3 linked regions of the Callithrix jacchus genome follow. The protein of the gene in region 1 interacts with the protein of each later gene in a pairwise test. Links are inferred from orthologs where the notes say so. Each region holds a gene or a part of one and is shown in the gene's direction. Other genes may lie near its edges.

Region 1 (3,966 bases):
CTCTCCCTAACCACCCCATCTCCTGAAGGAACTGTTGCCCCATCATAGCCAGCATTTGATAGCCCAAGGGCAAGTTTATGTATTTGAGAACCATGTTTTTCTTCTATAACTAAAAACCTGAAAATCCTTCAGTATTACATAGCCCAGTGTCTGTAGAGCACAATCGTTTTGAATTTCAGTCTGCTTCTGCTGTGTGATCTTGGGAAAGTCATTAACCCTTTTGGGCCACTATCACTATTTGAAATGAAGAGGCTGAACCAAAATGCCCTTTCCAGGGGAAAGCAAGTGGTGAAATTAGGCCTATTTAGGGAATAGAGAATAGCCTGTGGGACAGGTTTGTGCCTGTTTTTTGGTAGAGTTGAGTAAGAATTGTCAGAAGCTGATAGACAGAGGATAGATATATAGATAGGTGATTGATAGGTAAATGACAGCTAGATGATAGGTGATTGATAGATTAGATGATAGATGACAGATGATTGATAGATTAGATGCTAGATAGATAGATAGATAGATGATAGATAAAAGGGAACCAAATACTGTCTCTGTGCCCTGGGCATTTTTGCCAGGCAGGGGAAATTGCATCATTGGGGTCAGAGTTGTATGGCCCACAGAGGTCAGCTCAGAGGTTGGGAGGAGGTTGATGACCTTGTGTGGGAACCAACCTCAGGGGAATGAATGATGTTGGGGCCTCTTAGGGGCCTCCACTCTTGGAGTTTGGACTCCCCTTTCTCTGTGGGTCTAAGCTGGCTTCCTTCCACTGTGGAATTGTGCTAACACTGACCCTTTAGTGATTTTGCCTTTGTTGTTTTTTGTTTTCCGCTATCCTCATTAGCAGAGGTTTTGCTCTTATACACTTCATTGTCCCAGTGACTTCTTATATGCCAGTCACTGGCGGGTAAATGCCAGAGGGACACTGAGGACTCATCAGGAGGGCTCAGCCTTCTCTCAGAGAGGAAGCCAAGGTGGCCAGATTACGATCTGTTTTTTCTGGTAAATGTCCTGGGTAGGAAATGTTATTTGTGAGTTTGAAATATCCACCAAGGGCAGAGGGTGCCCTGAAGACAAACAGGAATCAAGTGGTCATTTTCTTGGCCCTGAAGTGATGCTCTGCCTCTGTGATGTCACAGTTGGCTCCTCACAACCTAGTTCAGCCTAGCACAGTACATGACAGTGGTCACTGGGTTTCTATCTGGGCAGGATAGCACCTGTGCATCAGGGAAAATAGACCAAGCTCTCACAAGGGCAGTATCATCCTTTGGAATTTGTTCATTTTAGTTACATACTCGTCAGGAGCTTTTAAGGGAATATGACCATTTTCCCAGTGAGCAGTGGCATAAACATTGAGGACTCTCTTAAATCAAAAGATGAATGAATGGATGGAATCTTTGCTGGGATAATATGCAAACCAGGTAATATGTGCCTGACCTGGATCTCCCAACAGGTAAGAAATGGGAAAATGTTAAGGGGGAGATGTTGGGGAAGAAGAGTAAACTTTGAAAAGCCATTCTCTTCAGCACAGAAGCACTGAAAGAAGTTGGAGATCTTCATGGTAAAAAGTGGGAAGCCCTATATTAGCAGGGAATGATGATTGACAGGGACCTAATGTGTGCTGGGTGGAGTCTGAGAATCCTGTGGGTAGAGAGGAAAGTGAGACATTAGAAGTCCTCCTGTATGTTTTGGAGACAGAGTCCCTTAGCTCACCCGGTCAGTAAGTTTCTCTTTCTTTCTCTCTCTCTCCCCTTTCCTTTTTTTTATTTTTTTGAGACAGAGTCATGCTCTGTTACCCAGGCTGGAGTGCAGTGGTGCGATCTTGGCTCACTGCAAGTTCTCCCTCCTGGGTTCAAGCGATTTTCCTGCCTCAACCTCGCAAGTAGCTGGCACTACAGGCCTGTGCCACCACACCAGGCTAATTTTTTGTATTTTTAGTAGAGATGGGCTTTCACCGTGTTAGCCAGGATGGTCTTGATCTCCCAACTTTGTGATCTGCCCACCTTGGCCTCCCAAAGTGCTGGGATACAGCTGCGAGCCACTGCTCTGGCCCAGTGTTTCTTGAATAAGTGAATTGGACTCTGTGGACGCCTTTCTGGAGAAAGCTTGATGGAGGGAAGTGGAAAGGACCTTGGAAAATTACCCAAATTCAATGAAGCTTTTTCCTAAATACCGATGGCTAAAGAACTTCAACTTGTCAGTTTCGTATAAAACACTGCATTGGACTCAATCTTCCTCTGAATTTAATGCTAGCGTTCCTTCAAAAGTCTTGACTTACTTTCTTTCTTTCTTCTTTTCTTTCTTTTTGCCTGCACTGTCTGTGCATTACAGTGCTGTAAGGGAAAGTTTTCTTGTGAAGTGATGTAGATAAGATTTAGAGGATCTGAACACCTCTCTGCTTTGGAACTCATGGGAGCTAAAGTGTAAATAGATTCACACATCTGACATTCAAAGTCAAAAATTCATGTGGTCTTGTCCTTTTCTGGTGTGTGAGTTGGTTTCAGAAGGGGCTTGGTGTTTGAAAGGTGCTGTAAGGAGTGGAAGAATCAATGCCATCTTCAGATGTTTGTTTTGAGTCACAGGCAAACCCTGCTTGAAGTCTGCCGGCAAGGCCTTTGAGTGACACAGAGCCTGACTTGTTCACTTCATGTTTGTCCAGCTTCCACGGCATGTGGAAGGAGTTTGTCTGCTTGGGAATATGCTGAATTAAGCAACATAACGAACCAATGAGAGGGGCCTAAAGCTTCTTTCAAGCTGGGCAAACCTTTAGTTGTTAGAAGCCCATACTTCCTATGTGGTGGTGTAGGAAGGACACTGACTTACCTGTAGGTTTCTTGCTAGAAAGTAGAATTGCGATCTGATCAATCTTTCAACTATTTAATTTATAGAAAGTATGGAAGATAGGGGGGCATATCAAATAACACTATGGGAATGTAATCCACTGGATGTGGAAATTCTAAAATACACCACATTTCTTTAGTAAATACATGGAAAGGAAAAAGATGGGGGGAAGTGGTGTTAATGAAAGAAACTTCTAAGGGACTGTGACAGATGCATTTGATGCTCTGCCCACATTCACTCCACTTCGACCTCTACAGCTTGCTGGAGGCTGCGCGCTGGGGACACCTGTGACCCTTTGCCCAAGGGCATTTATTCTGTCCCCAAGATTACACATGGTAAGCAGAGCAGAGTGTCAGAGAATTAATGGCTTAGAGAGTTAATGTCTCAAAGCAGTCCTCAGACAAAGATGGGTGGAGAGCTGGTGTACAAATACCCCAGCTTCCTTTCCTCTACCTCCCAGGGTTGGGGAAACTCTCAGGGGTGTCCTACACTGTTTTCTGGAGTTGCCTAGAAAGACTGAGCTTCCTTTGCCCCCAGCAGCAACACGCCCTTGTTGGTGCTCCTCCCCCACTGGCTCACTTTCCTACTCCCCTACCAGTTTCTATAGGGTCACCTCCCAAATAAACCATTTGCACTGAAATCATTGCCCCAGGGTCTGTTTCTGGGGAAACCAAAGTAGGACAGGGACAAATCAATCCAGTGCAACATGTGAACCTTATTCAAACGAACCATCTGTAAAAAGGCATTTATGAGTCTAATGTGGAAACATGATGGTAGATGGGATAATAGACTATTTTAAAGAATTATTCTTTAATTTCTTTCTTTCTTTTTTTTTTTTTGAGACAGAGTTCTCAGGGAGAGAGGGTTGGAGTGCAATGACATGATCTCAGCTTACTGCAACCTCCACCTCCTAGGTTCAAGTGATTCTCTTGCCTCAACCTCCTGAGTAGCTGAGATAAAAGGCATTTGCCACCACATCCAGCTTATTTTGTATTTTTAGTAGAGACGGGGTTTCTCCCTGTTGGTCAGGCTGGTCTCGAACTCCCAACCGTGGGTGATCTGCCTGCCTTGGCCTCCCAAAGTGCTGGGATTACAGATATTCTTTAATTTCTTTAGGTGTGATGTTGTTTCTTGTTT
Region 2 (4,147 bases), on another chromosome or scaffold:
TTTAAATATAATCAGAATTCCAGTACTCATCACGTGTGTTTCCACACCATCATCTCTCATCACATTCACTACAGTAACCTATAATTCTCTTCCTGCTGGTGCCCTTGCCTCCCTTCAGTCCCAACGCAGTGACTTTCTCAATATGGAAGTCAGATCGAGTCACTCTTCTGTTCAGAACCCTTAAATACTTCCCATCTCAAAGTAAGGGGCGGAAAGCCTTTTACACTGGCCTCTCTGCTTAATTTTCTCCACAGAAGCTACCTTCTTCTAATGTGCCACCTATTTTCCTTGTTCACTGTCTTGCTCCCCCTCGTAGGATGTAAGCTCCATGAGGGAAGAGATTTGTTTACTGCCATGTGGTCATCCTACACAAACCTTGGTATAGGGTAGCCATTCATTAAACTATTTGTTAAATAAATTAATGAATCCATAGGGTAACCCAAATAAATGCGTAATAATTCGGAAATGTAAATCTCTGGCGTCCACGAATACACCTCTACAAGTATCTACTGAGGACCTATCAGGTGCGGACACGAGGTAGCTAAAATAAGTCTAAAAAGGCGATAAAGCCTCCTCTAGGCAGTCCTCCTTATACCTTGGATCCAAAAAGAAGAATGGAGGTAAGAATTTAAGTCCTTTCATTCTTTTTTTAATTCTTTTTTTTTCTTTTGTAGAGATAGGGGAGGGCGGGGGAGATGGTCTCACTATGCTGCCCAGGCTGGTCTCGAACTCCTGGCCTCAAGCGATCCTCTCGCCTCGGCTTCCCAAAGAGCTGGGTTTACAGGCGTGAGCCACAGTGCCCAGACTCATTTCTTGAAGAGATAACTAAGTAGAGGGGAGAAAAGAAGTATAGAAAAAGAAAAAGGGAAGAGCTCCTGCTGCCTTCCTGCTCCCAGCCTTTCTCTTCCATGCTAGGTTAGAGTCTCCGTTCTGTCTATTGCTGTATGAATCGAAGGAAAAGCACCCTCGATTTGTTCGCAAATCAATCTTACAGTCAATCAGCCTTTAGGCAGTGGGACCGTCCTCTCCTCAGGCAGCCTCACCTTTCCACCGACAGCATCCGGGGACGCAAGGAGCAAGCTAAGTTGTTTCTATGGCAACGCACAGCTTCGGCGGATTTAGCTGGCTACTATTTTGCCTTCCCCTGTTACCAACTAATAGGCTTACCTTGCAGCCTACCAAAATGAAAGGATTAAGTAAAATAATTCTAAGAGTGCTCTTGAATGTGACTTATTTCAGTCCGAAGACGATTTCCGAGGGCTGCTGTTCTGGCGTTTTTAGAAGATGCCTAAATTGAGGGCGCATTGGAGAGGTGCTTAATCCCACAAGGCCGCGCGGCGGGGCCTCGTATTTCTCTTCCCGCCATCTTGGCACTTGTGGAGGCTAGAGAAGCGCCTGCTGCTGAAATTTGGAGGTAAATGACTGGAGTGAGTTTGTTCGTCTACCCTAGCGAGTTGCCGGTGCGTATCGGAATCACTGCCAGCCATTGATTTCTATGGGTTTCAAGAAGAGAGACAACAGGATGCAGGAGATGCTGGACTGATTGTGCTTGGTCCCCTCACACCCGGAGAACGGCTGCCCGGTTATCTAAGTTAAATTCTTGGACCCGAGCGGAGTGAAATGGATATTTTTGTTCGTCTGCAGTTGTCCATGGGGCCGTGCTTCCTTTAGGATAGGGTTTTTGTTTCCTCCCTTTGCTAACAGTCTCTTCCTCAGCTTTTCTCCCCCGCCAAGTGTAAAGGTCTTAGATGTGTTTCTCTGCTTAAGTCTCCATTTCTTTTCCCGAGTGTTCCCAGGCTTTTCTAAGAGTTATTTTAGTGCCTCTTGTCCCTTAGTTTTGTCTCATTCTTAAGTTTGCTTAGATACTAACTTCTCTGAGGTTCGAATGTCTAGCCGGACCCCGCGTTTCATACGGATGTTCTGGCGTAATATTTTCCCCGCACTCTTACGTGAAATTCCGATTCAAAAGGAATTTGCCTTAGAGGCTTAAATGAGAGGGGACGGGGCGGGACATTTGTGTGGCTTGCTTTAAACAGAATCTTTTGTTTTAAGGCCTGCTGGGAACAGGACTTACAGAAGGAGCTATGTCTGGAAGGTACGCGTTTTAAATATAGTTGCTGTTTGTTTTTGTGTGTTACACGTGAACGTAAATGAGAGCTTAAAATTGGTAAGAAAAAAATTAGATGTTCGCTCTAGGTAACTTTTGGGTGGGGGTTATTACAGGTCTAACTGGTTCGTTGAAGATTGCGTTTCATGTTGTGTATCTTTTGTTTCTTAGGCTGTGGTCCAAGGCTATTTTTGCCGGCTATAAGCGGGGTCTCCGGAACCAAAGGGAGCACACAGCTCTTCTTAAAATCGAAGGTGTTTATGCCCGAGATGAAACAGAATTCTATTTGGGCAAGAGATGTGCTTATGTATACAAAGCAAAGAAGTAAGTTTATTGGGTTTTAATTTGAGATCTGTCTCTTTTTCTTTTTTTTAAATAATGGACTCTTGCTCTGTTGCCCAGGCTGGAGTCCAGTGAGCTATCTCCCTCACTGCAACCTTCGCCTCCGATTCAAGCAGTTTTGCCTCAGCTTCCCTTGTAGCTGAGATTGCAGGCACCCGCCCAGCTAGTTTTTGTATTTTTAGTTGGGGGTGGGGGCGTGAGGGGGTTGGTTGTCTTGTTGGCGAGGCTGCTCTCAAACTCCTGACCTCAGGTGATACACCCGCCTTGGCCTCTTATTAAAGTGCTAGGATTACAGGCGTGAGCCACTGCGCCTGGCTTCATTTTCCTATTGGAAGAATAAACAAAAGAGGTGGCTGAAGTATTTGGTATTGGTTTTTTTGTTTTTGACAAGAGACTTGCTCTGTTGCCCAGGTCGAAGTGAGGTGGCGCGATCTTGTCCCATGGCAACCTCCGCCTCCTGAGTCAAGTGTCAAGCAGTTCTCCAGCCTCAGCCTTCTGAGTAGCTGGGCTTCAAGGGGTTCACTACCACACCCTGCTAATTTTTGTATTTTTTATTAGAGACTAGGTTTTCCCATGTTGGCCAGGCTGGATTGGTGTTGCTGTGGTGCCTATTTTGCGTCATTGAACTTAATGGGGAGTTTTAGAAGGACATTACTTTTTGAGGGCGGTGTTGGATTTAGGAACTTTTGGCACTTAATAAAGGAGCGAATTTCTTATTACATTGTGATCATTTAAAGGTTTTTAATTTTCTTCTCAGCTCCTTTGGCCAGAATTTAAGGTGGTTTAGAACGCTTTTCGTGTGTAATGCATTTTGTTGATGCCTTAAAATTAAGATTTTTTTTTTCTTTTCTTTTTTTTGAGACATAGTTTCACTCTTGTCCATGCTGGAGTGCAGTGGCACAATCTCAATGCACTGCAATCTCCACCTCCCAGGTTCAAGCGATTTTCCTGCCTCAGCCTCCCAAGTAGTTGGGGTTAACTCTGTATTTTTAGTAGAAACAGGGTTTCACAGTGTTGGTCAGGCTGGTCTTGAACTCCTGACCTCAAGTGAGCCACCCGGCTCTGCCTCCCAAAGTGCTGGGATTACGGGTGTGAGTCAGTGCACCAGGCCCAAATTGCGGCTTTTATGCATGCCTAAAGGTATTGATACTGTAGACATTAGTTCTTTTTGTTGAGAGGACATCTTGCTCTGTCACCCAGACTGGAGTGATCTTGGCTCACTGTGACCTAAGCCTCCCCAGTAGCTGGGATTACAGGCGTGTGCTACCATGCCAGGCTAACTTCTGTCTTTTTAATAGAGATGGGGTTGTGTCATGTTGGCTAGGCTGCTCTAGAACCCCTGACCCTGTAATCTGCCCGCCTTGGCCTCCCAAGTGCTGGGATTACAGGCCTGAACCACAGTGCTCAGCCAATCCTATTTTCTTAACCCATTCCAGGCCAATTAAAATCTCTGGGAAAGTGTTTTCATCATTGCCCCACCTTTTCATCTGCAGGCAAAGTGTTCCTTTAACATTTTAAGTCAGTGGCTTAAAATTTAAGTCGGGGGCCAGGTGCAGTAGCTCACACCTGTAATCCCAGTGTTTGGGAGGCATAGGTGGGAGGATTGCTTGATGTCATGAGATGGAGTCTGCAGTGACCGATGATTGGGTTACTGCACTGCAGGCTGGGTGAAAGACAACTGTTGTCTAATTAAAGGAA
Region 3 (3,995 bases), on another chromosome or scaffold:
TCTCCATGTTTTTCTAGGTCTTTATCTGGACAATTCTAGGACATTGAAGGGGAATTTTGGTGTTTCTTCCTCTATTAATTTCCTGAAGTCATTTCACTCAAAAACACTAGATTGGCTGCTCAAGATAAAAAAAGTTATCTACTTGCTTCCAGTTTACTTGCAACACATTTTATAAAGGGTCTACTCTGCTGGCTGGCTAAGTTAAATTAAAACTTATAAAGGGTACAAGGTCTAAAGTTCGCACGTTCTTGTGAGGTCTGCTTATTCTCAGCTCTACCAGTCTCAGTCCCGTATATTTCCTTCAGAATCTCGTGAATGAGGAAAAAGTTCAGATGAAGGTCAGATACCTAGAAGAGTTTTCGAGGCTGGGATGAAAAAAGTGGGGAAAAGGTACCCAGATGTGGGTGGCCCCGGAGGGTTTCTCCACTCCAGCCTCAGCAGGACAGCATAGCGCGGCCTGCCTGGAAGGTTCCCAGAGGCACTGGAGAGCCTAGTGTGTGCCCGGCAGGAAAACGGCGGGATGGTGTGCCCCCTGAATCTGGCAGGGTTGTAGGTGCTTTACACGTAGAAAGATAAATTCTCCACTCCAAAGAACTCGCAGTTCATTTTCTGGGTTGCATCAGGTGGGGGCAAACGAGGTCCCTGCAGGAGTGTGAGGACGTTGAAGGAATACACTGGGGGAAAAAATGCTTCCCTGCCGTTCTCCACACCAGGCAGGCCCCAGAGGCTAAGACCGACACGCCCTCCCCGAAGGGCAGACCCGCCTCGAGAGGGCGGACCTGGGAAGGGCCTGCCGCCTGGCCCTCACCCGACCCCCGCTAACGCGGACCAGCGGTGCGCCCGCTCTTCACGTGTCCCTCCCGGTCCCGGGTCCGCCTAACGATTTGCTTCCGCCCGACTCCTCCGACTTCCGGTAAAGAGTCCCAATCCGGCATCCCCGTGCCCACCCGGCGCCTCGGCGCACTCAGCCTCCGATGCGCTCAGCGGCCGCACCTCCTCAGAGTTCCGCGGCAGCCACCGAGCCTCGCCGTTTCGCCGCAGCTAGGTGGCCCGGGGGGCGCTCGCTCCCGCGGCCGGCACGGCGAAGCGGGCGGGGCGGCGGTGGCGAGGTACCGGGCCCGTATCCCTCCGCCGCCCCTCCCCCGCCCGGCCCTGGCCCCCCTCCCTCCCCGCAGCGCTCGCCTCTCTCCGCCTCAGACTGTTTTGGTAGCAACGGCAACGGCGGCGCATCCCGGTCCGGCTTCCGGCGGTTCCTCGGTCTCGGCGGGCCTCCCCGCCCCTTCTTCGTCCTCCTTTTCCCCCTCGTCAGCCCGGGCGCCCCCCCGGCCGCGCCAACCCGCGCCTCCCCGCTCGGCACTCTCGCGTCCCCGCTGCGCTCCGGCGACTCCTCGGCGCGCCCGGCTCCCGACTGTCCCCGCCCGGCGTGCGAGCCGGTGTATGGGCCCCTCACCATGTCGCTGAAGCCCCAGCAGCAGCAGCAACAGCAGCAGCAGCAGCAGCAGCAGCAGCCGCAGCCGCCTGCGGCCGCCAATGTCCGCAAGCCCGGCGGCAGCGGCCTTCTCGCGTCGCCCGCCGTCGTGCCTTCGCCGTCCTCGTCCTCTGTCTCCTCGTCCTCGGCCACGGCTCCCTCTTCCTCGGCGGCCGTGGCGACCGCTGGCAGCGGGAGGCCCGGCCTGGGCAGGTGGGTGTCGGCACCCCAGCCCCCTCTGCTCTGGGCCCGGTGTCCCTTCCCCCGCGGCTCGCGCGGCGGTCCCCGCCCCATGACCGGCAGGGCTGCCCGAGGTGGGCTGGGGGCTGGCGGCGTGTGGGGGACTCGCCCGGGCCAGAGTCCCGAGGCTCGGCTGGGGGGCGCCGCGGGGGTCTTCTGGGATTGTCAGGCCTGTCCAGCCTCCCGCAGCATCCCCGCCCCCTCCCCCAGCGGTCAAGATGGAGGGAGCCAGCGGCCTCCCCTCCCCACGCGTGTTGGGAGGAGTTCTCGGGTCGCGGCTGTGGTCACCCCTGGCTCCCCCTTTCGCACGCCCCCTCCTCCCGCAGCAGGGGTATGCTTGGGCAGCGTCCCACCCCCAGTTTAGGTGTGAACGTTGGAGGGGTCTGGAGGCTTTGGTGTCGTTTTCCGGAACATGTCGTTCCCCCATCGTGGGGGACATCTCAGAAGGGGAGAAGTTAGGGCCGCGTCCCCCGTGCGCGTTAAAGGGGTAGGCACTGGGCTCCTCCGGAATCATCAGGGTCTATCGGGGCTCCTCTCCCCGCCCCCTCCCAGTCCTGGGAAAGATCGGAAGACTGGGTGGAGACAGGTGGGCCTTGGCCCCCGCACCCCTCCCCGTTTGATTCCGAGGCTGCGGCGGGGGCTCCCGAACTCCCGTGGAATCTTGGGGCTCCGTGCAGCCTCCTGCAGCGTTCCGCCTTACCCCTCCTAAGGAAGGGAAGGGGTGGGGAGTGCCCGGCCTCCATTCTTCCCCCGCCTGGCCTGTCCGGCGCGCGGGTGGTGGCCGATCCGCATTGCTGTTCCGAGGCTGCGGTGGAGAAGGCGCCTGTGAACAGTGGTGGGCGAGGGCCGGACCCAGGCTGGATCCGGGAGATCCGGGGCGGCGGTGCTGGTGGCAGGGAGCGGGTGCCCTGCGCACTTTTCCCAATCCCCGCCCCAATTTCGGAAATGCTAGGAGAGAGAGATTGCAGAAGGGGACGTGGTGTGGTTTCTGAACGCAGAAATGTTTATTGGTGTCTTTTTCCCACCTAAGCCGGGGTTGTGATAGAGACGGGGCGAGGGATCAGTGTTGTCCTGGCTAACTGGTTTTGACTCTGGAGAGTGTGTTCGTGCAGGAGGTCCTATTGAGGGTGGCGGGGGGTGGTGATTGTCAGTTCGTATTTCACGAACTAAGAAAATGCTTAGTGTTCAAACGGAGAAGCAAATGTCAATAGACTCCATTCCATTGTGGCCGGTGTCCTTAACTTCGGGAGTGCCGCCAGAGCTTACCAAGGGCACGCAAGTCCATTTCCCCTGTGCCCCAAGTCTATCCGTGTTGCAGGCGCTACTGTGCCTCCCTTAGGCCTAGGCCGCCGGCTTGGCAGGGCCAATGACTGGCGTCCTCCTTAGACATCTTGGGTTTTGGAAGGTGGGATAAGAGGATTTTTCACGCACCTGAGTTTTCTTTTTGAACACACATTTTCAGCAATCCATTTCTAAATAATTTTTATTTACAGCTTAAGTTCCCCATCAAGAGGTATCAGCTGGTTTTTAAGGAATTCTCTTGCCTTCAATGGGGCCAGGGGCTGAAATAGTCTTCGGTTATTTGACTTACAAGCCTCGTCCCGTCCCCGCCCCGCCCCCCCCCCCAACTTCTCTGAGTCTGAAGCATCCCAGCCACTACTTAGCCAAACTAGTTCAGGTGAAGTGATCATTTCCCCTCATAGAGTAACTTCACTTTCCCTTTTTTGTTGGCATCTAGTGAGGAATGAAAAAATTTTAAGTACAATTTTTATAGAAAATGATGCATTGTTTTTATTTTCTTAGGTATTAGAAGGAGATTTGGCAGATATTTTCAACTTGTTCAAATACATACAAATTAAAACTAAGGATTTTAAATTGCATTGACTCTTAGGCTTAAAAATTAGATTATAGCAGAATTTGCTTCAGAATAGCTTGAGTGATGAGAGATACTTGGAATGTTTTAGTTCCACAAGGCCTTTTTCTGTTCCTTGAGGCTTTACAACAATTTAAGATTAATTTAGATTTTTTTCCTTGCTTTACATTCTTTTACTCGAGACCTAAATGGTAGCCTTTATTCTTTTTGATGAATAGGTGAAATTTTATTTACTGTGTTGGATTTGTATAATGTGAAATTTATTCTTGTGCAGATTGTTAATGTACTTGTAGAATTACTTTGAATTTTGAATCACTTTACTGCTTTCCTTGTAAATAAGTTTCAACTTCTGGAATCGCCTCACTTTGGTTTGTGTATCAGCAATGAAAATAAGTTTCTGAGAGCAAGGGTGAA

What was found.
Region 2: the proteins of SH3GL3 (region 1) and RPL35A interact in a two-hybrid assay, tested with the Homo sapiens proteins (2 studies listed by BioGRID and IntAct). The link is inferred for Callithrix jacchus from reciprocal best matches to the Homo sapiens genes SH3GL3 and RPL35A.
Region 3: the proteins of SH3GL3 (region 1) and ATXN2 interact in binary tests that used the Homo sapiens proteins (3 or more experiments, as listed by UniProt). The link is inferred for Callithrix jacchus from reciprocal best matches to the Homo sapiens genes SH3GL3 and ATXN2.

The regions. Positions count from the first base shown.
Region 1 is NC_133507.1:24,739,924-24,743,889, forward strand, and holds the start of SH3GL3 (endophilin-A3), read left to right. Parts: upstream 1-1,166; 5' UTR 1,167-1,372; coding exon 1,373-1,441; intron 1,442-3,966. UniProt on the Homo sapiens protein: Implicated in endocytosis. May recruit other proteins to membranes with high curvature.
Region 2 is NC_133518.1:81,470,981-81,475,127, forward strand, and holds the start of RPL35A (large ribosomal subunit protein eL33), read left to right. Parts: upstream 1-1,347; 5' UTR 1,348-1,460; intron 1,461-2,052; 5' UTR 2,053-2,084; coding exon 2,085-2,095; intron 2,096-2,278; coding exon 2,279-2,431; intron 2,432-4,147. Other genes in the region: DRC9 (dynein regulatory complex protein 9), read right to left, coding at 1,044-1,060.
Region 3 is NC_133510.1:114,460,533-114,464,527, reverse strand, and holds the start of ATXN2 (ataxin-2), read left to right. Parts: upstream 1-1,195; 5' UTR 1,196-1,451; coding exon 1,452-1,681; intron 1,682-3,995. UniProt on the Homo sapiens protein: Involved in EGFR trafficking, acting as negative regulator of endocytic EGFR internalization at the plasma membrane.